3 linked regions of the Pelodiscus sinensis genome follow. The protein of the gene in region 1 purifies or fractionates together with the protein of each later gene. This does not show direct contact. Links are inferred from orthologs where the notes say so. Each region holds a gene or a part of one and is shown in the gene's direction. Other genes may lie near its edges. The genes, in order: SIKE1, STRN4 and STK24.

The links.
Region 2: the proteins of SIKE1 (region 1) and STRN4 purify together in Homo sapiens (affinity purification with mass spectrometry; 3 studies listed by BioGRID and IntAct, with this or other methods). This does not show direct contact. The link is inferred for Pelodiscus sinensis from reciprocal best matches to the Homo sapiens genes SIKE1 and STRN4.
Region 3: the proteins of SIKE1 (region 1) and STK24 purify together in Homo sapiens (affinity purification with mass spectrometry; 4 studies listed by BioGRID and IntAct, with this or other methods). This does not show direct contact. The link is inferred for Pelodiscus sinensis from reciprocal best matches to the Homo sapiens genes SIKE1 and STK24.

What each region holds. Positions count from the first base shown.
Region 1 is NC_134737.1:578,200-585,299, forward strand, and holds the start of SIKE1 (suppressor of IKBKE 1), read left to right. Parts: upstream 1-4,029; 5' UTR 4,030-4,188; intron 4,189-7,100.
Region 2 is NW_027465849.1:5,732,629-5,740,583, forward strand, and holds the start of STRN4 (striatin-4), read left to right. Parts: upstream 1-4,902; coding exon 4,903-5,142; intron 5,143-5,184; exon of another isoform or gene 5,185-5,235; intron 5,236-7,955. UniProt on the Homo sapiens protein: Calmodulin-binding scaffolding protein which is the center of the striatin-interacting phosphatase and kinase (STRIPAK) complexes.
Region 3 is NC_134711.1:249,514,361-249,522,145, forward strand, and holds the start of STK24 (serine/threonine-protein kinase 24), read left to right. Parts: upstream 1-4,702; 5' UTR 4,703-4,857; coding exon 4,858-4,899; intron 4,900-6,470; coding exon 6,471-6,701; intron 6,702-7,785. UniProt on the Homo sapiens protein: Serine/threonine-protein kinase that acts on both serine and threonine residues and promotes apoptosis in response to stress stimuli and caspase activation.

The sequences.
Region 1 (7,100 bases):
AATGTCACTAACAATCACTTCACTTAGCAAATGAGTAACAAAGAACCAAGTCAGCATAACAGAAATTCTGTTATTTTAACTTGAGTGGAGGATGTTTACTGTGAAAAGGAACAAACAGGAATATTAGATAAGATGATGGATAAACAAAACTCAGCCTAGAATTTATCAAACAGTGTGTAAGGGGGTATTTAAATAAGTAACCAGAACCCCCTTGGGTCAAGGATGTGTGCCCTGCTACAAATATACAACATTACCTGACATTGGTATTCATTACATACTAGCTTAAGTAGTAAATACTAAGTCAAAATTATCCCAGTAGAATTCCCTTAGCTGAATGTTACATCGGGGATTAAATTGATTTACTATATTTAAAAAAAACCACAATATTTTAAAATTGCTTATATTTCAACGTTCTTAATTAGGGAAAATGTATTGTGGTCATTTGCACTAAGTTTTATTTTCTCTAGACAAAAGCATGGTAAAAGGACTGTTTGTTTTTATTATGTTTTTCAAGGCTATTTCTGTAGCCAGTGTGTACAGTAGGGGAAGAACAACCCTAAGAAACTTTTTTCTGAGAAATCTCAGTTTGTTTATGTCAGTGGGCTCGCCCCTGTCTCGGGGTTGCCACCCCCATCCGGGGCCTAACTCGGCCCGTCTGGGCCTAGCCCTCAAAGTACCCTGCCCCTCTCGTAGGGGAAATACGGCCCACCGGCCTAGTCCCAAAGTACAATGCCCCTGTGCTAGGGGAAATACGGCCTCCCGGCCTAGTCCTCAGTTTGCAGGCCCGGAGGCCTAGTCCACAGTTTGCAGTTTGTTACCCTGCTCCCACGTGCCAGGGTCTCAGGCAGCAGGGGTAGGGGGGTCCGGGCCCTCCCTCTCCACCAGACCCCGACCCAGGGCCCTAGTAGTTTCGGGTGGTTCCCACCATTGGCTCGGCGGGGGCTCCTCCCCGCAACGCCCCGAGCCCTCAGGGGCTTCTCCAGCTCCCTGCCCTGGGTCGCTTCCTACCCCCTGCTCGCAGCCGGCCGCATCCCACCTGTCGGCGTCGGTCGATGGGCTGTAGCGGTCCTCCCCCTGGCCGCTGCAGAGTTGGCAGAGTCCGGTCCAGTGCTCGGGTCATGGGGGGTCGGTCGGCAGCTCCGGCGTTGGGGCCGAGCCCGGCAGAGGCCCGGCAGCAGCACGCTCAGCTCCCCTGGCAACTCCCTCTCTGGCCAGTGGTCGCTAGCTCCTGCTCGGGTCACAGTCTGCCCCTTCTGAGCAGGCCAGCAGCCTTTTATACCTTTGCTCCCTTTGGAGCATGCCCAGTAGGGCTGTGTGGGTGGGGCCCTCTCCGCCCCCGGCCCCAGGTGGTTTCCCTGGGCTTGAGTGCGGGGCGGGGCCACCCCGTCACAGTTTAGAAAATACATTTTCTAGTTCAAGAGACTCAGTCAAAAAATATATGTATTTATACACAACCTATTAAGTGAACTAAACCAGATAAATGTTTGGGTCATCTTTATGCAGGAACATAACCACAAAATTTCCACAAAAATTACACCTAGGCAGCCCTACAGAATGGGATTATTTGTAAACCTGTGTTTAGCAATAGCTTTACTTACCAAAATTCTAGATTTCTGTGTTGCCAATGGTTCAAAGGCATCATTCACCACGTCAATGAGCTCTTTCTTTCCATGGGCAGGTCACACAGACGAAAAAATTGTCATTATGTGCACATATTAAATATGTAATAATACAATAATACTTTGCACTTTCTTGCCTCTTCTTGACCAAGGAGCTCAAAGGCATGCCAAAAATTCACTAATTAGCCCACACCATGTGTAATAAGAAGGTTGGATCATCTTCATTTCACAGAAGCATAATCAGAGGCAGAAAGAAGTGAAGTGAATTGCCAAAGGTCACATAGCAAGCGTCTAGTGGATCTTCAACAGAACACAGTATCTGTGATTCCTAACTCCAAACTACTAGATCACATGCAACTTCCATAGCTAGGAATGAATCTAGTAGTCCTGACTCCCAATCCCTTGCCCTAGCCCTACCATTTCAATTAATACAACATTTTAAACTGTGAAATCATAGAAAACCTTTCAGCAGACTGTTTTGGTAATTCATGGCTGTCCTATCCATATCCTGCTACATTTCACATAGTTTTTGTTATATTGGTGCTTTCTCCAAATATACCATGTCTCTAAGGAGACATCTACACAGCAGCGTTATTTCGGAATAACTCACGTTATTCCGAAATAACACAATGCACGTCTACACTACAAGCCTTTATTTCTAAATAATGTTAAACTGGAGGACTTCTTACTCCAACTCATGGTAACCCTGCTTCCATGAGGAGTAAGGGAAGCCGAAGGAAGAGTGTTCTTCCTTTGACTTCCAGCTGTGTAGACAGTGCCAAAAGTCAATTTAAGCTATTTTGACTTCAGCTGCGCTATTGACGTAGCTGAAGTTGCATAGCTTAATTCAACTTTAGCCCTGCTGTCTAGATGTACCCTAAGAGAATTTCCAGAACTATAGTCAGTTAGGAGAACTTTATGACATTCTCAGTCTCCCACTATCCCTATCATTGCAAATAGACTGTAGGAGGGATGGTCCAGTGGTTGGGGCACTGGCTTACAACATAAGAGACTTGTGTGCCATCCACTGCTCCACTGGGGACTTTCTAGATAAGTTTAGGGAAATTACTTAGCCTCAGTTCTCTATGGAAATGATAATAATAATTTCCTATCTCACAGGGTGTTGTGACGCTAAATATGTTAAAAGATTATTAAGTGCTTTGTCGTCTGATGAAAAATAGTAGAGAAGAATGGACCATTATTTTTATGATCTTTACAGTGTATCATCACAAGGTAAAGGTCTCTGTGAAAGCTTCTTGGGATCCTGAGAAACACCATGACCATTCATGGCAAAGGACAAGCAACAATAAAAGCCACAAGAGCAAGTGTTAGAAAAAATGGGGACTAATCTGGTTACGATAGGTATGAAATAAAAGCTACCAAAAAAAGGAAACGTCTCTACACAAGAGCCTTCTGCAAACCTGATTGCAAGGCCTTTTGTTATCATTTAAAACAGACAAAATGCTGAACTAAGCACAAAGTGGGGGTGAGGAAGGACAGGACTTCCAAACTTTCCCAATTGAGCCTTGAGATTTTAGAGCTCTGCAATTGGGCAGAATGTGTGGGGGCTCAGTTCTGTTTTGTCGGTAATGGTTTCCTGGACCTTGTAATGCAGGAATGGGAAACCTACAGTCCACATCTGCCCCAGAGCTTGCCTGGATTTGGCCCTCAGGTCTTGGAGCTCTGCAGCAGGATGAGCAGGCACTGGTGCTGCTGGCAGTGGCAGGTGGAAACACCAAGCCTTGTGGGCTGGATCCACGCAAGCTGCGGTTTGCCTCCTGCCTGCAGGCTCTGCTTGTGGAGGTGGGAGGGAGAATGACAGGAGTAGTGTGTGGGGAGTAGAGCTGGTCAGCACCCGACAGTACAGCTGACCTACCTGTCCCCTTCCACTCACATGCCACCTACCCTCATTCCACTCCTGCACCCTCGCTCTTTCAGCCCGCACACTGATCCCCAGAGCCTGAAGGGCCCATAAATCTCTAAACCCCAGGCCTCCCAAAGTGAATCTGACGCTGGAGACCAGCCCTGAGCTCGCGGGGCTGGCGTGCACGGGGAACCCCGGCACCGCAGGCCATGAGGCGAGTGTGTCTCTTTTTCCCGTTCATCAGTCGGGGGCGCGTCCGAGAGTCTTGTGTTTGCTCCTCACTTGCATGTCGCCCTCCCGACGTTAATGAGCCAGGGGTCCCCAACCCACCCTGTTGTAATGAAGCGCTAAACTGCATTATACCGTTCAGCCACTAGGTGGCACTGAGTGTAAAATACCCGCTAGCACCGGTCTAGCTCCTCAGCCGCTGTCACGGGCGCCCCCCTGCGGCCCGACCACCTCACTGGTTAGCGTCGCTTCTCGCGCAAGCGCACAGGTACCTCTGCCCCAGCGGGGACGGGAAGGACGCGCGCATGCGCACTTTCCCAAGGTTGGGGGGCTTCCCTTTCTGTGCTTGCGCGTTCCCGAGTTCTCCGCGCGCATGCGCATTTTCTCTCCGCGGCTCTCGCGAGAGGCCGGGATTTACTCCTACGTGCTGTGCGTGCTGCCCGCGGCGGCGCTGGAGCGGGGCGCTGAGCTGTTGGGGTAAGTGCGGGCTCGGCGAATGGCAGGAGGGCCCGGGGGCCGCGACACCCCCCCTCCGCCCAACGGTCCCGGACGGGCAGAGCCCCTCCCCCCGCTCTCCCTGCGGGTGGGCCCGAGCGGCGGGGCCGGAGCCGTTTCGGGCCCACAGTTCCCGGCAGCCTCTGCGTGTGGCGGTCGCGGGGGAACTACAGCTCCCGGCATGCAGCGCGCAGCCAGTGTCCGTCCCACGCGCAGGGCGGGGGAGCGAGGGAGGCGAGGTTCCATAGGGGCTCCTCGTGGCATTCCAAGGCCGGGCCCATGGGGCCTGCCATCAGCTGGCGGCTCCGCGGGGCGCTGTCTGTGAACTGCCGCGTGCAGGCCGGGCGCTCCCCTGCTGCCCCTGGGAAGTATCCCGTCTCCTCCAGCCTCTCCCTGAGAGACAGCAAGGGGGACAGCGGGACTCCCCTTGCTTACCAGATCGCCAGCTACTCTTTCACTTCCCTGGCATACAAGGGTGGTGGCTGCAGCCTGGCAACGTTTGGTTCTGATTAATTGAAAAGGTGCATCTATGGAGCTCTTAATTTCATCCCTATTTAAACAAATTCAAATGTGAAAATGTGCAAGACCTTAAACTGCACAACATGTATAGCTTTACCTTGGCTGTCTTTGCAGCTGAGGTCATGAACTCAAATATAGAAATACAGAGATCAGTGTGACTTGAAGGATCTGCTGCTCTGGCTGTTTAGTTGAAGGGTATTTATAGCAGCTAAGATTAAAAGGAAAACATTTGGTTCACACATAGATTTAGGTTTGATGAGCGAGAACTTCAGTAAAATCTTTTTTCAATACTGTAAGAATGGTAAACCTATGTTGCATCAAAGCAGTTATGAAATGAAAGTATTTGCTTGATTTTTCTTCCCATATCTTAGGGATGTTAAAAAAAATTACTTTAAGTAATTGGATAACTTGCTGAAAATTTTAGTGGTTATATGGGGAGGCAGTAGTTCCTGCCTGCCCCCTCATTGGTTAACCATGTAAACAGTTAAACTTTCGCATCCATAATCTAAGTAAATTAGCCAGCAGATGTGTTATTAGGATGAGATGTTTTGATTTGTTTCAAGAAAAGTTATGTTCTTGCATGGCTAAAAAGTGTTAAATGTAGCATGAATTTATCAGTACCAAGAGTGTGATAGGCAATTTGGATGAAAAATAGTTCAAGGGGATCCTGACTTATTTGCAAGGCATTAATCATATGGCTCTATGCTTAAATTTTTCATGAAACAATCAAGGGTCTTTAGTCTAGTCTGGATCATGCAGAGAATGCAAATTTGTACTGCTGGTGCATTTTAATAGTGGTAAATTACTGTTATAAACTTGGGCTGTATCTGAAATAAACTTTATTCTGAGTGTTAAGATATGTGCGCTTCCCTAGCACTTTGGGTGAAGAGTCTCTAACCACAAAATAGTGTGTTAGCACTAGGGATGTCAACATGTAATCAAGCACAAGATTAACTGATAAGCCTAGGTTTATTGGGTAACCTTATTGACTACATACAGAATGGGAAGCAACTGTCTAGGAAGGAGTACTGCAGAAAGGGATCTAGGGGTCATAGTGGACCACAAACTCAATATGAGTCAACAGTTGTGACCCCGTTGCAAAAAAAGCAAACCTGAATCTGGGATGTATTACCAGGAGTGTTGTGAGCAAGACATGAGAAGTCATTCTTCTGCTCTATTCTGCATTGATTAGACTTCATTTAGAGTGTTGTGTCCAGTTCTGAGTGCCACATTTTTAAAAAGATGTGGAGAAATTGGAGAAGGTCCAGAGAAGAGCAACAAGAATGATTAAGGGTCTAGAGAACATGACCTATGAAGGAAGAATGAAAGAATTGGGCTTGTTTACTTTGGAAAGGAGAAGACTGAGAGGGGACTTGATAACGGCTTTCAGGTATCTAAAAGGGTGTCACAAGAAAGAGGGAGAAAAATTGTTTTCCTTGGCCTCTGAGGATAGAACAAGAAGCAATGGGCTTAAACTGCAGCAAGGGAGGTTTAGTTTGGACATGAGGAAAAACTTCCTGTCAGGGTAGTCAAACACTGGAATAAGTTGCCTAGGGAGGTTGTAGAATCTTCATCTCTGGAGATCTTTAAGAACAGGTTAGATAGACAACTGTTAGAGATGGTCTAGATCAGCGGTCCGCAACCTTTTGGTGCTGCCGGGGGCGGGGCCGCTCACGTGCTGTGCGCCCGGGTCTGCCTGGGGGCTGGCACCGCCCATGCTTCATGCATCCAGGGGCGGAGCCGGCCCCAGTCACTCGGCGGGCGCACATAAATGCCCTGGCAGGCGCCATGGCGCCCGTGGGCACCATGTTGGGGACCACTGGTCTAGATGATACTGGGTCCTGCCACAAGGGTAGGGAACTAGACCCGACCTCTCGAGCTCCCTTCCTGTTCTGGTCTTCTGTGATTCTACACACACAGGCGGTGGGGGTAGGGAGAAATGCATCGGAGTGCCTGTGACGAGATGGCTTTTAAGCCGATTCCCAAAGGCACTGGGTCCCGTGGAGCCCCACACACACATGCTGCTGCCTCTAATAGACAGGCAGCAGTGTGGAGGGTATGGGGGGGCAGGTGGGAGACTGTACACACAGGAATCCAGCTTTCAAGCCAGCTCCCAGCACGTGTCTGCTCCTGCAAGCCACTTGCACACCCTCCTTCCCCCGCCCCCCACAACACACACTGCTCCCTCCTATCTGAGGCAGCAGCGCTGGGGCGGGGGGCCGCGGGCAGAGGAACCGACACGTGGGGAACTGCACAATTATGTTATTGTTTTCCTATCCAGGGAACACATTTGTACTGGCTTGTGTGAAAAATAATTTACGCTCTAAGTGATTTGTAGAAATATTTGAATTTGCTTTTTAAAAAAAGACTTTCCT
Region 2 (7,955 bases), on another chromosome or scaffold:
ACAGGATTTCCCCTTACAGAAACCATGTTGACTTTTGTCCAACAAATTATGTTCTTCTACATGCTTCACAATTTTATTCTTTACTATTGTTTCGACTAAATTTGCCCGGTACTGAAGTTAGACTTACCGGTCTGTAATTGCCAGGATCGCCTCTAGAGCCCTTTTTAAATATTGGTGTCACGTTGGCTACCTTCCAGTCATTAGGTACGGAAACCGATTTAAAGGATAGGTTACAAACCACAGATAATAGCTCAGCAATTTCCCATTTAAGTTCTTTTAGAACCCTTGGATGAATGCCATCCGGTCCCGGAGATTTGTTAACATTAAGTTTTTCTATTTGTTCCAAAACCTCCTCTAATGACACTTCAATCCGGGACAGTTCCTCAGATTCATCACCCACAAAGGACGGTGCAGATTCAGGAATCTCCCCAACGTCCTCAGCCGTGAAGACTGAAGCAAAGAAATCATTTAGTTTCTCCGCAATGGCTTTTTCGTCCTTGATTGCTCCTTTTATAGCTCGATCATCTAGGGGACCCACAGGCTTTTTAGCAGGCTTCCTGCTTCTAATGTACTTAAAAAACATTTTGTTATTACTTTTTGAGTTTTTGGCTAGCTGTTCCTCAAAATCTTTTTTTGCTTTTCTTATTACATGTTTACACTTGATTTGACAGTGTTTATGTTCCTTTCTATTTATCTCACTAGGATTGGACTTCCACTTCTTAAAAGATACCTTTTTGTCCCTCACTGCTTCTTTTACATGGTGGTTAAGCCACGGTGACTCTTTTTTAGGTCTCTTGCTATGTTTTTTAATTTGGGGTATACATTTAAGTTGGGCCTCTATTATGGTGTCTTTAAAAAGTTTCCATGCAGCTTTCAGGGATTTGGCTCTAGTCACTGTGCCTTTTAATTTCTGTTTAACAAACCTCCTCATTTTTGTGTAATTCCCCTTTTTGAAATTAAATGCCAGGGTGCTGGACTGCTGAGGTGTTCTTCCCACCACAGGAATGTTGAATGTTGTTATATTATGGTCACTATTCCCAAGCGGTCCTGTAACGGTTATATCCTGGACCTGATCCTGCACTCCACTCAGGACTAAATCGAGAATTGCCTCTCCCCTTGTGGGTTCCTGCACTAGCTGCTCCAAGAAGCAGTCATTTAAGCCATTGAGAAATTATTTTCATCTCTGCTTCTCTTCCTGGGGTGACATGTATCCAGTCAATATGGGGGTAATTAAAATCCCCCATTATTATAGAGTTCTCTATTTTGGTAGCCTCTCTAATCTCCCTCAGCATTTCTATGTCAGTATCGCTGTCCTGGTCAGGTGGCCGGTAATATATCCCTACTGCTAATTTCTTATTATTGGAGCATGGAATTTCTATCCATAGCGATTCTATGGAACATGTTGATTCATTTAATATTTTTATTTCATTTGATTCTACATTATCTTTCACATATAGTGCCACTCCGCCACCCACCCGGCCTGCTCTATCCTTTCTATATATTTTATATCCCGGTATGATTGTGTCCCACAGATTTTCCTCATTCCACCAGGTTTCAGTGATGCCTATTATGTCTATCTCCTCCTTTAATACGTGGTACTCTAGTTCACTCAGCTTATTAGTCTGACTCCTAGCATTTGTGTACAAGCACTTTAAAAATTTGCCACTGGTTATTTGTCTGCCCTTCCCTGATGCATTGGATTCCTTTTATGCGGTTGTTTGTCAGCTCTGGCCCATGGTTTGCCCTCTCCCCTCCTCTCTTTCCGACTACAGCTTAGAGAATCTCTATCAACGGATTCTCCTCTAAGAGAAGTCTCTCTCCGATTTACATGCATCTCCGCACCAATCGGCTTTCCCCCATCTCTTAGTTTAAAAACTGCTCTACGGCCTTATTAATGTTTAGTGCCAGCAGTCTGGTTCCACCCTTGTTTAGGTGGAGCCCATCCTTCCTGTATAGGCTCCCCCTCTCCCAAAAGTGTCCCCAGTTCCTAATAAATCCAAACCCCTCTTCCCTACACCATCGTCTCATCCACGCATTGAGACTCTGAAGCTCTGCCTGCCTACCTGGCCCTGCGCGTGGGACCGGAAGCATTTCCGAGAACGCCACCATAGAGGTCCTGGATTTCAGTCTCTTTCCTAGCAGCCTAAATTTGGCCTCCATGACATCTCTCCTACCCTTCCCTACGTCATTGGTACCTATATGTACCACGACCACAGGCTCCTCCCCAGCACTACACATAAGTCTATCTAGATGCCTCGAGAGATCCGCAACCTTCGCACCAGGCAGGCAAGTGACCATATGGTTCTCCCGGTCATCACAAACCCAACTATCTATGTTTCTAACGATCGAATCACCCACTACTAACACCTGCCTCTTCCTAACTGGCATTCCCTCCCCCTCAGAGGCATCCTCAGTGCGAGAGGATACCGCAACATCCTCTGGGAGGAGGGTCCCAACTATGGGATGGTTTCCCTCTGCTCCCATTAAATGCTCTGTTCCCTTGAGACTTTCATCCTCCTTAAGAACACTGGGGCTCTCAGACTGGAGGTGGGACAGTACTACAGTGTCCCAGAAAGTCTCATTAACAAAGCTCTCTACCTCCCTTAGCTCCTCCAGTTCAGCCACCCTGTCCTCCAAAGCCCGAACTCGGTCTGAGGGTCAGGAGCTCCTTGCAACGGGTGCACACATACGCCACCCGCCCACAGGGCAGGTAATCATACATATTACACTCGATGCAATAAACAGGATAGCCCCCACTCTGCTGCTGGGCTTCTGTCTCCATGTTTGTAATGAATAAGTTTAAGTACAAACTGGGATTCTTTTAAAACTTCTGGAGTATAGATTATTCTAAGAGTTAGGTTTTAAAGAAGGACACAAGTCACTAGTTCCCTCTAAGTTCCCTCTCCAAACTCTCCTGTTACCTGTTCCTGGTCGCACTCTCCGTGCTCTCCCAGGTCGCTGAGTCACAGGCTTATATAGCTCTGGTAGCCCCTCCCCCTGACTGAGGCTCAGCCAATTAACAGAGGCTTCTAGATTTCAAACCTTTTAGAAGCTCCTTCAAACAAACAAAGCAAACAAACCAGACAAACACAAGCTCAGCACACTGCAAATAACTCCCCCCCACACAACACACACTCCAGACAGCCACTTACCACAAGGGTCCCATTTTTACTCCTCTTTTCCCTGGAGAACTCCCTCTCCAAACTCTCCTGTTACCTGTTCCTGGTCGCGCTCTGACCAGGTATGACAACTCTGTGACAATCAACAAGGATCCTGAAGTGACTGGGATAGAAGTGAGGGGGGAAGGAAGGAGAGAAGCACACTGATAAAGCTGACTACCAAGCAATGGAGGATTTGGGGTAAGGCTAGCAGTTGCTCCAGATAAAGATGTAGATGGGGAAAGAAAATGGTGACCACTGAATAGTTGAAAGGACAGTAACTGCTCTGAATAGGGGCCAGTATGGAGCTACGGCAATGGATGAAATACTCCAGCATTATGGCTAGGGAGAGGAGGCAGATTTTATTTGCCTTCCTCCAAACCAGACTGAAGTCTCAACTCTGTGCTGAGAAGGGATCTACCCTGGGGGGCAGAGAGAACAGTATTTTGGGAAGGAGCATGATCTGGGAAGGAGGCGGCCTGTCATTGGGGTGGCCTATGCAGTCCTGGGTGGAGGTGACTGTACTTGCAGTGGTGAGGAGCCTTGTGCTATGGGAACCTCTACTTGTTTGCTGTGGGTGGGTAGGAGAAGCCTCCCTGGAGTGGGCCCTGATCAAGACCCCCTGCTGAAATGGGAACTGCTCACTGTCTGCTTTTGGGATAGGGCAGAGAAGAGACCCTATTCTAGAGGGAACTTGACTGGGGTACCCACTTTAATTTGAGTGGGGTGTGAGGCATGGGAGGTGTTACCATGGGAACCCGTCCCTGGCTGTTGGGGGGGGGGGCATTTGAACCAGGCTATGAGGGGGAACTGTCATGGGAGCTGCCCTCTCCCTGCTCCGGGTGGGATGAACCCAGCCTGCAAGGTGGGAGGTTGGAGGGGGGCGCTGTTACCATAGGAACCCCTCTCCTTGCAGGCCTATTCTGGGGGGCCCCTGGAACCCTTCTCCTTGCTCTGGCTGTGGGGCAGGTGAAGGGACCTGTTGCCATGGAAACCACCCCCCACTTCCGGGGGGGGGGGGGGGACAAGCAGACCTACCTGGAGGATGTGGTTGCCAAGGGGGAAGCAAGCCTGCTCTGGGGGAGGTGCTGTCATGGGAACCTCCTGCTGGGGGGGTGGATATTCCTGGGGGGGGGGAATGGGAGGGGACGTTGCCATGGGAACTCCCTGCTGTGGGGGTGGGTCGCAGGCCTACCGGAGCAGGACCGTTGCCATGGGAACCCCACACTCGGAGGGGGGTAGCAGCCTACCTGGAAGGGGCGTTGCCATGGGAACCCCACACTCAGAGGGGGGGAAGCAGCCTACCTGGAAGGGGTGTTGCCATGGGAACCCCACACTCAGAGGGGGGAAGCAGCCTACCTGGAAGGGGTGTTGCCATGGGAACCCCACACAGAGGGGGGAAGCAGCCTACCTGGAAGGGGCGTTGCCATGGGAACCCCACACTCAGAGGGGGGAAGCAGCCTACCTGGAAGGGGCGTTGCCATGGGAACCCCACACTCAGAGGGGGGTAGCAGCCTACCTGGAAGGGGCGTTGCCATGGGAACCCCCTGCTGGGGGAAGCAGCCTACCTGGAGAGGCCCGTTGCCAGGGGAAACCCTCCGCTCGGAGGGGGGAGCGAGCCTGCCGCGGAGAGGAGGGGGGGCGCGTTGCCATGGGAACCCCTCCCTGCCCCCGTCCCGCGGCGCGGGCCCCATTTCCTGGCGGATCACTATCTGGCAGGAAGTGCCCCCCCGCGCGGCTCCCTATGTGGCAGCCGCCGGGATCCATGATGGAGGCTGAGCGGGTGCTGGTGCGGGCCCAGCAGGCCCCGGGCCCGGCGGGGGCCGAGCCGCCGCCCCCCCCGCCGCAGGCCCCGGGCCGGCCGGCCGCGGGCTCCGGGCCCGGCGAGCTGAGCCTGCCCGGCATCCTGCACTACATCCAGCACGAGTGGGCCCGCTTCGAGGCCGAGAAGAGCCGCTGGGAGGCCGAGCGGGCCGAGCTGCAGGTGCCGGGGCCGGGCCGGGCGCGGGGAGCCGCGGGGGGTTACCGGGGCCGCCGCTGCCTCCGCCGCTGCCGCCATCTTGGAGGGAAATGGCCGACGGGACCCCGCGGGGGGGGAGAACCCCCCCCAGGATTGGGGGAGCCCCGTGGGGGGGAGGGGGAGTGTCAGGGCCCCCCCCAGGACTGGGGAGCCCCGTGGGGGGAGGGGGAGTGTCAGGGCCCCCCAGGATTGGGGGAGCCCCGTGGGGGGGAAGGGGGAGTGTCAGGCCCCCCCAGGATTGGGGGAGCCCCGTGGGGGGGAGGGGGAGTGTCAGGCCCCCCCAGGATTGGGGGAGCCCCGTGGGGGGGAGGGGGAGTGTCAGGCCCCCCCAGGATTGGGGGAGCCCCGTGGGGGAGAGGGGGAGTGTCAGGCCCCCCCCAGGATTGGGGGAGCCCCGTGGGGGGGAGGGGGAGTGTCAGGCCCCCCCCAGGATTGGGGGAGCCCCGTGGGGGGGAAGAGGAGTGTCAGGCCCCCCCCAGGATTGGGGGAGCCCCGTGGGGGGGGAAGAGGAGTGTCAGGGCCCCCCCAGGATTGGGGGAGCCCCGTGGGGGGGGGAAGAGGAGTGTCAGGGCCCCCCCAGCATTGGGGGAGCCCCGTGGGGGGGGAAGAGGAGTGTCAGGGCCCCCCCAGCATTAGGGGAGCCCCATGGGGGGGAGTGTCAGGCCCCCCCCAGGCCTGGGGCAGCCCCATGGGGGGAAAGGGGGAGTGTCAGGGCCCCCCAGGACTGGGGGAGCCCCATGGGGGGAAAGGGGGAGTGTCAGGGGACCCCCCCAGGACTGGGGGACTCCCTGGGGGCATAGGAGGAGTGTCAAGGCATTCCAGGTCTGGGGGACTCCCGGTGGAGGCCGAAATTGGAGTGATAGGGCCCCCAGGACTGGGGAAGCCCTATGGGGGGAGGGTCACCTCCCCCCCAGGAACATGGGTGGGAACCTCCATGGAGAGGGAGTATCAGGATCCCCAGGACTGATGGACTTCCCATAAGAGGAAAAAGGGAGTGTCAGAGGCTCACCCAGTACTGGGATCCCCCCCCTGGGGGGATTGGGAAATTTCAGGACCCCGTCACAGAATTGGGCTGACCCCCTGACAGGGAGAGGGGGCGTAGACCTGGGTAGAGACTGGGAGCTGAAGGGACAAGTTGGAGGTGAGTGATTAGAGGGGGATACGGAATGGGGGAGGTATTGGGATCCTTCCCCCCCCAAAGTTGGCACCCCTCAGTTGTAATTAGGGTGTTGAGCATTCCTGTCCAAGAAGGAATGAAGCGGACTGGGGGGAGGAGAGGGGTATGTGACAGTTGCCTCCCCATAACACTGAGGGAAGGAATTAATGTGTTGGGCTTTTGTATCTGTTACCCTTTAATAGGAATTGGGGTGAACTGGGGGAGAAACACGACTGTCATTCTCTCCTTAGTGACCAGTGAAGGAATTGGGGTGATGGTAAGAAATACAGTTTTCAACCCCATAGCAACTAGCAGTGGAGTTGGGGTGATTATTGGGGCCAGGCCAGGAAATAATTGATGCTTCCCAAGAGGGATTGAAGAGGGAATGGAGGTGACAAGGGGAGAAATGTAGTCATTGCCTCCCAGTACGGACAGGGGAAGAACTGGGGTAAGGATATGCATCTGTCAACCCCATGGCAACTAAGGAAGAAGGGAGAGCGGACAGCAAATACTCAGACCGGTAATAGCTGGTGGTGGGGATATGGGGTTGAGGTGGGACACTGCCATCATATCCTAGTAGAGAGCTGCAGGGAGGTCGCTTCCCTGGGTAGCCTCACTGGGTCTGGTCAAGAGGAGCAGCTTCCCAGTTATTGGTGTTTGGTGCCAAGGGAATATCACTCTCCCAGCTGCATATGTTTTAAGGAGCAGGGGATGGTGATCTCCCTGCTAGGGTATGAAGACTAGCAGGGCTGTTCTTCCCCAGTAGCTCTGGAGATGGCATTTGGATGTGAGGAACCAGAAATCTCCCCAAACAACCATGCTAGGATTGCCCAGGGATTAGGGCTGTGAAGCATTTTATTAACTTCCGTGAGCAGCCACAGCCAATGGATCTGAGGTTAGTAATATGGGTGAATTCAGCTCCACAGGGATGGAAGGATGAATTGGTTGGGATGGAAGTAGGTGCTGAAGATGTCAAGGGAATGCCCTGTCCCAAATGGCACTTTCTCAAGCCCCCCTCGAGAGGGGCAGTGAGCCAGGGACCTTTGAATGGTGCAACCCATCAGCACCTGGGTGAGAGAGTTACTATCTTCTTAAACACTGATGGGTTTGCAGGGCACAGGAGAGAGGTGAATAAAATTGACCCGATCTTGCCAACTTCACTTTGATGCCCTGTTTTCACATGGCGAACGGGTGGAAGAGGTGAAGAGTAGTAGTTTATCATCTGCCAGGCTGGAAGCATGTTGCAGGCTGTAAAACATCTCCAGAAGGTCTCAGATTTCAGGATCCAAATGGCTGCTATGGATGTAAGGCATAAACTTCTGCTTTTTAGGGTACCTGCTTGTATATGGGCTGGTTTATAATAGCTGGTCTATGTAGCAAGGGGAATTGAACCAGACCACACAGCAGGGTTTGATGCAAGCAGTGGCCTGAAAGGCAATGGATGGGACTGAGTTCTAGGTACCAGGCGAGGGATTGTAAAACCGAAGAGGGCTGGGGAGTTAAATGAGATTAAGCTACTAGAAGAGCAGCACTGTGACTTGAGTCTGGAGGGCGAGGCTGAGGAGAGCTGTGTAGGAGGGATTATGAGTGGAACAGGAAAGGGAATTGCTGATAAAAGCAA
Region 3 (7,785 bases), on another chromosome or scaffold:
TTGCATATTGCCGGGCGCCGCTGTTTTTAAATGTCCACTAGTTCGGACTCCGTGCCCGCGGCTACCCGCGGCACGAACTAGGTAGTTTGGACTAGGCTTCCTAGTACTGTGGAACGGGGTGTACCGGTAGTTCGGACTAGGAAGCCTAGTCCGAACTACCTAGTTCGTGCCACGTATAGCCGCGGGCACGGAGTCCGAACTAGCAGACATTTAAAAATGGTGGCGCCCGGCAATATGCAAATGAAGCCTGGGAAATTCAAATCCCGGGCATCATTTCCAACTCCGGTTGCCTACATTAACCACCCTAGTTCGAACTAGGGTGGCGAGTGTAGACATACCCTTATAGACTAACGAAACATGTAGATGGTATCATGTGCCCACCAAAGCTCATGATACCATCTACGTAAGTGGTCTCCAACCTTTTCACACCCAAGATCACTTCTTAAATGACAGAACAAGCCAAGATCTACCACCCCGCCCCTTCCTTGAAGCTCCACCCTCTCTATTCTCCTCCTCTCCATCACTTGCTATCCCCAACCCTTATACCGCTGCTTTTTTCCCCAATTCTTCTGTAGGAAGAGGTTTTTCCAACATTTGGCCTGTCTAGACCGGACCAAATGTCAGAAAAACCCCTTCTTTTGGAAGCCCCCTTATTCCTTGTGGAAAGAGGAATATAGAGGTGACCGAAAGATCATGTTTGCTCTTCCACTAAAAGAAGTGGAAGAACAAATGCATCTGTGGATACAGAAGAGTTTTTCTGGGATATCTCCGGAATCCTGAAAAACTCCTGCAGTCTAGCCGTAACCTTGCTGGGTTGAGACAGAATGTGTAGGCTCTAGAGTGGGAATGAAGGATTTGGGTGTGGGAAGGGGTGAGAGGTGCAAGTTCTGGGAGGAAATCTGGATGTAGGAGAAGGTGGATAAGAGGACACTGGCTTGAGGAGAGGGCGCCAGGCCGGGCAGTGTAGGGTTAGGGTACTAAGCAAGCCACAGACTTCTGGATGTGAGGGTTCAGGAATTTGGGTTGAGGTATGTGAGGGGCTCAGGACAGGGGTTTCCAGTGTATGATAGGCTCCGATGTAGGGTCTGGGGGAAAGGTAAGCGCAGGAGTGTTATGATGCTGTGGCCAGATGGGTTCTTAGCCCCAGTTTGGGGTTTGTTGGCTAGGCTTCATTTTTAAATCAAATAGTGTATCAAACAAAAAGTTTCTGCATTTTCTTTATTTCTCAGAAGGGCAGGGAACCTTTCTTGAGTCAGGGGTCATTGACCCAAGAAAAGTCAGTTGGGGCCACACAAGTGAGATGCAAAAAAACCCTCCTTCACCCCCCCTAAGCTTCACTAATGTGGTCCCAACTGTGTTGGTGGGAACAGGGGACATAGTACTGGGGAAGGGTGCTAGTGGGTGCTTTGGCAGGGGACAGGGTGCCAGTGGGGACAGGGTTCTGTGGATCGGGACAGGGGAATGGGGACAGAGTTCAAAAAGTGGGGATGGGAATTGGGACAGAGTTCGGTAGCTGGGGAGAGGGAACTGGGCAGTGGGGAGTGGGAATGGGGCAATGGGAACAGGAGGAGGGGGGCAGTGGAAGCAGAGAGTCCCCTGCATCTGCCACCTCCCAGGATTCTCCCCCCCCCCCCCCCCCCACGGGAAGCCAGCATGTGCCTCCTCGGGGCCCAATTCACACGCTCCCCCGGCGCAGGGAAGTCCTGCGTGTGCCTGCCCTGGGGTCAACCCCCCCCCCGGCACAGGGAAGCCCTGCGCACAGACCCCCCCCGGCGCAGGGAACCCCCACGCATGCCTACCCCGGGGCCGACCCCCACCCCCCGCGCGCCTGCCCCGGGGCTGACTCACTCCTCCTGTGCGGTGCAGTGAGCCAATGCTCCCTTCCGCAGTACACCTGGCAGAGCAGCTAGCGCACTTCCAGAATCGTCGGAAGTGGCGCTAAGCTGCAGGACTTCTGTCCATCCCAGGGAAGTCGACATTACCTCCATTTTCACTTGAGGTAGGTAGTGGGGCTTCTTGAGGGTGGGAGGGAAATGGGGGCGCGATTGACTGGTCGAGGCCTCATGATCGACCAGTCAATCGCGATCAACCTGTTAGTGACCACGGATCTACATGTTTTGTTAGTCCAGGGGTTCTCAAACTTTGTGATACCACGACCCCCTAAAATGCTAAATGAATGTGTGACACCCCGCACCCTCACCAAAGTTGTTAAGCAAAAAAAAGAAAAAGGGGGGGGGGGGTGGAAGCAAAAGTCGTTAAGCAAAAGTTGCACCACTTTGTCCAGTTTGGGACTGCACCCAGCCCTCCCTGAGCCAGGCCCTCATCCCCCCCCATCCCAGTGCACTCCCCCCTCCACCTGAGGCAGGCCTCCCAGCACCCCCCCATCCCAGTGCACTCCCTCCTCCCTCTGAGAGGCATCCTCAGAGTCCCGGAGCATGCTCCAATCTAATCTCCCCCCCACCACTGCAGAGCCAGGCACGAGGAAACTCTTACTTTCAAAGTGGCTGCTCTTGAAGCCCAGCCCGGCCCGGCCGCCTCAGCTCACAGCATGACTCAGGAGCATCATGTGGCCAGCTGTCGGACTCTGCTGCTCACGTTGGCCAGAGCAGCGCACGCTCTGGCACCCCCCCAACGTGGCGCCTGGTGACTGCTCCCTCCTGCCCCCCTTTCACTAGACTCTGCAGCGCTCCTCACTCCCCGCCCCTGCCATATGAGGCAGGGTAAAATTGCCCCTGCTGGGCTTCTGTCCGGTATTTCATGTTTTTTTTACATGTGGAGAGAGACACATTCTTTCAAGAAAAAAACCGGATCCAGCTGCAACCCCTCTGTAAATTCGTCGTGACCCCACAGGGGTCTAACTGCGTTAGTCTATAAAGTGCTACCAGACCTTTTGTTGTTTTTTTGTGTGTTGTGGTAGCTATGCTATCATAACACCATAATACAGATGCAGCGTACACTGACTGAAAGATTTTCTATTGATATAGAAACATCATCTCCCTGAGTGATGGTGTCATCTCCTATATCTACAGAAGCATTCTTTCAGCAATGCAGGTAAGTCCTACAGTGGAGGTGTGCTTTTCCACATGTGGACAAACAGATCAATTCAATTTTTACATTTAGACCCAGTCTTACAGTGGTGTGAAAGGGAAATCAACTCCTCTGTGTGTGCATGATATCCTCTGCATAGGTGAGGTTATAACAAATGACTGGTGTGATCGGGGCAGCCCGTGCCTATAGGCAAACCTGGCAGCTGCCTAGAGCGCCAAGTTAAATGGGGCGCCAAATTCCCTGCCACTTCCCCTTCCCCCAACGCCTGACTTCAGCACTGGAGGAGGAGTGCGGCTTCCCTGCACCGCAGGAGGGGTGAGTCGGTCCCGGAGGAGGAGCGTGGGGAGTTGGCCCCAGGGGAGGCAATGCGCAGGGGTTCCTTGCACCGTGAGAGGGGGGATCAACCCCGGGGGAACAGGCGCACGTGGGTTTCCCCGCAGTACGGGAGGAGAGGGGTTGGCCCCGGGGTAGGCACGTGCCGGCCTCCCCTGCGCTGCGGAGGGGGTGGGGGGTCGGCCCTGGGAGAGGCACATGTGGGGGTTCTCTGGCTGCAGGGGGGGGGGTCGGCCCTGGGGGAAGCAGTACATAGGGGTTCCCCATGCCGAGGGAGGAGCAGGTCGGCCCCGGGGGAGGAGGCGCACCACAGGAGGGGGGTCGGCCCTGGGGGAGGCAGGCAACAGCTTCCCCTGTGCCGCGGAAGCGAGGGGGGTCGTCCCAGGAGAGGCGTGTGCCAGCTTCCCTCTGGGGGAGGAGGCGGTTGCAGGGGACTCTCTCCCCCCACTGGTACCCTGTTCCCTCTCCCTTTTCCCCAGCCACAGATCTCCATCCCCGGCCCCCTTGGCTCCAGCCACAGAACCAAAAACCTCAGTCTATATCTGCCCTTGGGGTTGGAGGCGCCGATTGCTTGGTTCGCCTAGGATGCCAGTTGCTAGCAGCTAGTCTAGGGCCGCCCCTGGGTGTGATGAAAAAATATTGATAACAGGTCAGAGTTACTCAAATGGCTCATTGGCAGTTCTCTCACTTGCTAGTTGGCAATCTAGAGAAAGAGCTCCCAAGCCAGTGAGGTAAATCCAATGCACATCACTGCAGCATGTCAGATAAAAGGGACCAAATGGCAGTAGGGTGCAGGTTAGCACAATGTCTGGTGTAGGTGTTTTTGCGCATTGTGCTCAGGCTCCAGCCCTAGGCGGATACTCACGACAAGGGAACACTACGCCCTGCCTTCGCCAGTGAGCCCCCCTCAGACACAGGACACTGCCCCAGACACCGCTCCCCAGCCGTCTTCGGGGGCACATGCCCCTCGCGCGCGCGGCCCCGAAGGCCAGACACCGCTCACGCGAGACACCCCCCGCGGGCGCGACCTCCCCTCCCGCGGCGATTCACCGCTGGCAGCTGCAGGGCGGCGGGGATCTGCGCGAGCCCGGACCGGTCACCATCATCCGGGCGCGAAGCCCGGCAAGCGCCTCGTGCCGCTACCGGCATTCGGGGGCGGGGCGAGAGCGCGCGCGCCCCTTGCACGGCGGCCGTTGTCCCTCGCCCGAGCTGGTTTGCGTTACGTTAGCAGCCCCCTCCTCCCCCCTTCGCGCGGGACCGGTAACGACCGCTCTACGCGCGCGGCGCAGGGGAATGGGGAGCTCGGGTTCGACGCTGAGTCTCTGACGGGACCTGAAGCGGGGCGGGGCGAGGAGCGCCAGGGAGCTCCCGCCCGCAGACGCTCGGCGAGTCGTGCGTGGGGGAGGGGGCGAGGAGCTGATTCCAGTCGCTAGAGCCGCCTGAGCAGAGCCCCGAGGAGCGCGCGTCGGCGCCGCCATGACTCAGTCCCCGGTGCAGCCCGGCCTGCGGGAGATGCCGGTGAGACTCTGGCCCCGCCCGGGCGGGGGTTGCGGCATAAACTGCCTGGAGGGGAGGCGTGCGGGCCCCGGCACTGCTGGAAACGCCCGCGGGCGGGGGGGCTGCCAGGTTCCGCCTCTGCGGCCCGTGTGCGGCTGGGGGTCCTCGGGGCGGTCGTGCCGCTGCCGGGAAAAGCCACTTTGCTCTGGCACCGCCCATCAGTGCCCGTGCCCGGGGTGGGGGCGGTCATTGGGAAACAAACGGCTTTGCCAGCGCCTGGCTAAATCAAGGCGGAGGTGCTTGGGCCGTGCGCCTGGCTCCCTTCCTTGCTCCGGGAGAGCCAGAGGCCGCCCGAAGGGGGGGAGGCTCGTTGACTTTGGAAACACAACCCCTCCCTGCAGTGCAAAAGCGTTGCCCTGCAGGATGCGCTTTGGGAGGAGGAGGGGGTGGAGGTTGTTTTGTCATGTGAATTGCTTAGTTAGGGCCGGTATGTGTTTCTGAATAATTGTCAAGGGGCTCATGATCCCTGGGCTAGGCATCCCTGCCTACTTTGTCTGTCTTTGTCTTATTATTAGTTCAAATAAAATAACAAAGCCCTCGCAGAGAAACCTTAAAACTGTCAGTGTTTGTGTATTGTTCTAATTGGACCCCATGTATCTTTAATAGAGCTTGGATGCTACTTCATGACATGCCACTTTGAGGCCCAGCCTTCTTTTTTTATTTCCTTATAACTTCCTCAAATTACCTTTTGGGATTGAAATGTTTTATGCTTGGTGTGGCTTTAAAGTAAATTTATTTCTGGTTAGTGTTTCATCTATCTCATGCACTAATTCAGGTCTTTTTTTTTTGGGGGGGGAGCTAGCATAGCCTAGAGATTTTAATTGAAAATACCCATTCATATATCTATAGAAGACTGTGTACTTGCAAAAGCATAGGGGAAATATTAATGGGAAAGACTTAAACTGTTAACCCTGGCATGTACTACACATGCACAATGTTCTCCCTTCCACCTACAGACAGTGTGCACTCAAATCAGTTGTTGTTGTGACCTGGAGGGCTCCTGACTTTTATGTACTGTGCAAAGTCATCCATCTCCTCTGGAGACCCTTAAAATTACTCATTATTATTCAGAAAAATATGCTTAGGTGTTCCGTATGTCTGGTAATTGTTTAAAACGAGGAAATAAGTTGTAAAATTCTATCTGACTATGTCATGGATTAATTTTAATTAAAAAAGATATGACAGATTTCATTGTATCATGTTTCTTGCAGGAACTGTAATTTAAACCTTTTGAACACATTAGGCTCTGTGGTCGCTAGCTGAATATCTAGTACCCAGTTTTTCAAACACTTAAGGGGGGGAAGAAGGGAATTCCAGCACAACAGGTTGGAGTGGCCCGTTTAATTTGTTAACTGGTTAAAGGTGAAATAAATTTCACCTTTAACCAGTTAACAAATTACACTGTCTTTTAAATCCTTAGTTCTAATGAGCTGCACAAAGTCATTAATCTTTGTCTTTAGAAATGTTAACATATTTGTTTGTAACACTGAAAGCAAGTATTGAGTATCTTTTTCTTTTTATAAATTTAACAGAATATAAAAGCGGATCCAGAAGAACTGTTCACAAAACTGGAGAAAATTGGCAAGGGTTCTTTTGGTGAAGTTTTTAAGGGAATTGACAATTGGACTCAGAAAGTGGTTGCTATAAAAATTATTGATCTAGAAGAAGCAGAAGATGAAATAGAGGACATCCAGCAAGAAATCACAGTTTTGAGTCAGTGTGACAGTCCTTATGTAACCAAGTATTATGGATCCTATTTAAAAGTAAGAATATGCTTTTCTGTGTGTGTTTTACAGTTAAAAATGTTGCTCTACTGATGTCCTTGTCATAAAAAATTGAGGTTGAATAGAAGAATAGTTTTTCAATGGAAGAGGAAATATTTTCTCCCTTTAAACCCTAAAACGAGTGAACTGTTTATAGTTTGTAAAGAGTTTGCTTCCAGACCTACCTGAAGAATAAAATAGTACGTGTCTGTTTTGTCACTTAGTGACAGGAAGAAATGAAACTTTAAGTAACAGACTTGTTACTGGTGACATTCAGGTCTAGCAGTGGTATATTTAGATCAATTTAAACTTAGAATATTTTCACTCTTAGTTTATTGTTCAACTTGAGAATACATTTAAAACATAATAAAAATTGGCATAAAACTACTAGAAACAACTCAGTACCAACTTTTACCACATTTTAACAATTTTGTCACAACAATTTTGTAGAAGTATGCTTTTTAAACATGGAGTTTTGTTTAAACTTTATCCTATTTTTTACCTGAATGGATCAAAAAATTAATTTGCTAACTTGTGACCTATTTGCAGAAGGTGTTTAGTAGAATAGCCTTAAGTAAAGGCTGAGAGATCCTGTTTGGGTTTTGGTTGGTGCTTTGGTTACAAGCTTTACTTATCTCTTGGATTTTATTTTTCTTTGAAAATATCTAGTTTTTTTACAGTAAATCAGCTGCAGTGAGTTTTAATATATCAAGTACAAAAAGGTATTTCTTCTTTGCAGAAAGATTAATGTTTAAGGTTTCTCTAAGGACCCACTTCCAGTAGGACAGTCAATTGTGTACTTCCAGTGGCCTGGCCTTGTTATCCAAGGCAACTTGAGGAAAAAGTCCATCACCAATATTCACTCAGAGGGCATGATACTCTATCACTGTCTTTGGGTGTAGTAAGCCTAAAAAGCATATTGCCGAACAAAATAAACTGGCATCCACTTTTAGTTTCTGAAGTCCCCTCTTGAAATCTCCTGACCAAGTGTTGGTGTTTATGTGAAACAAGTCATTCAGAAAGGGCATTACAGATATTTCTCCTACTGTGAAGGAGAAATCAATCTCTTCCGCATCCTTATTCA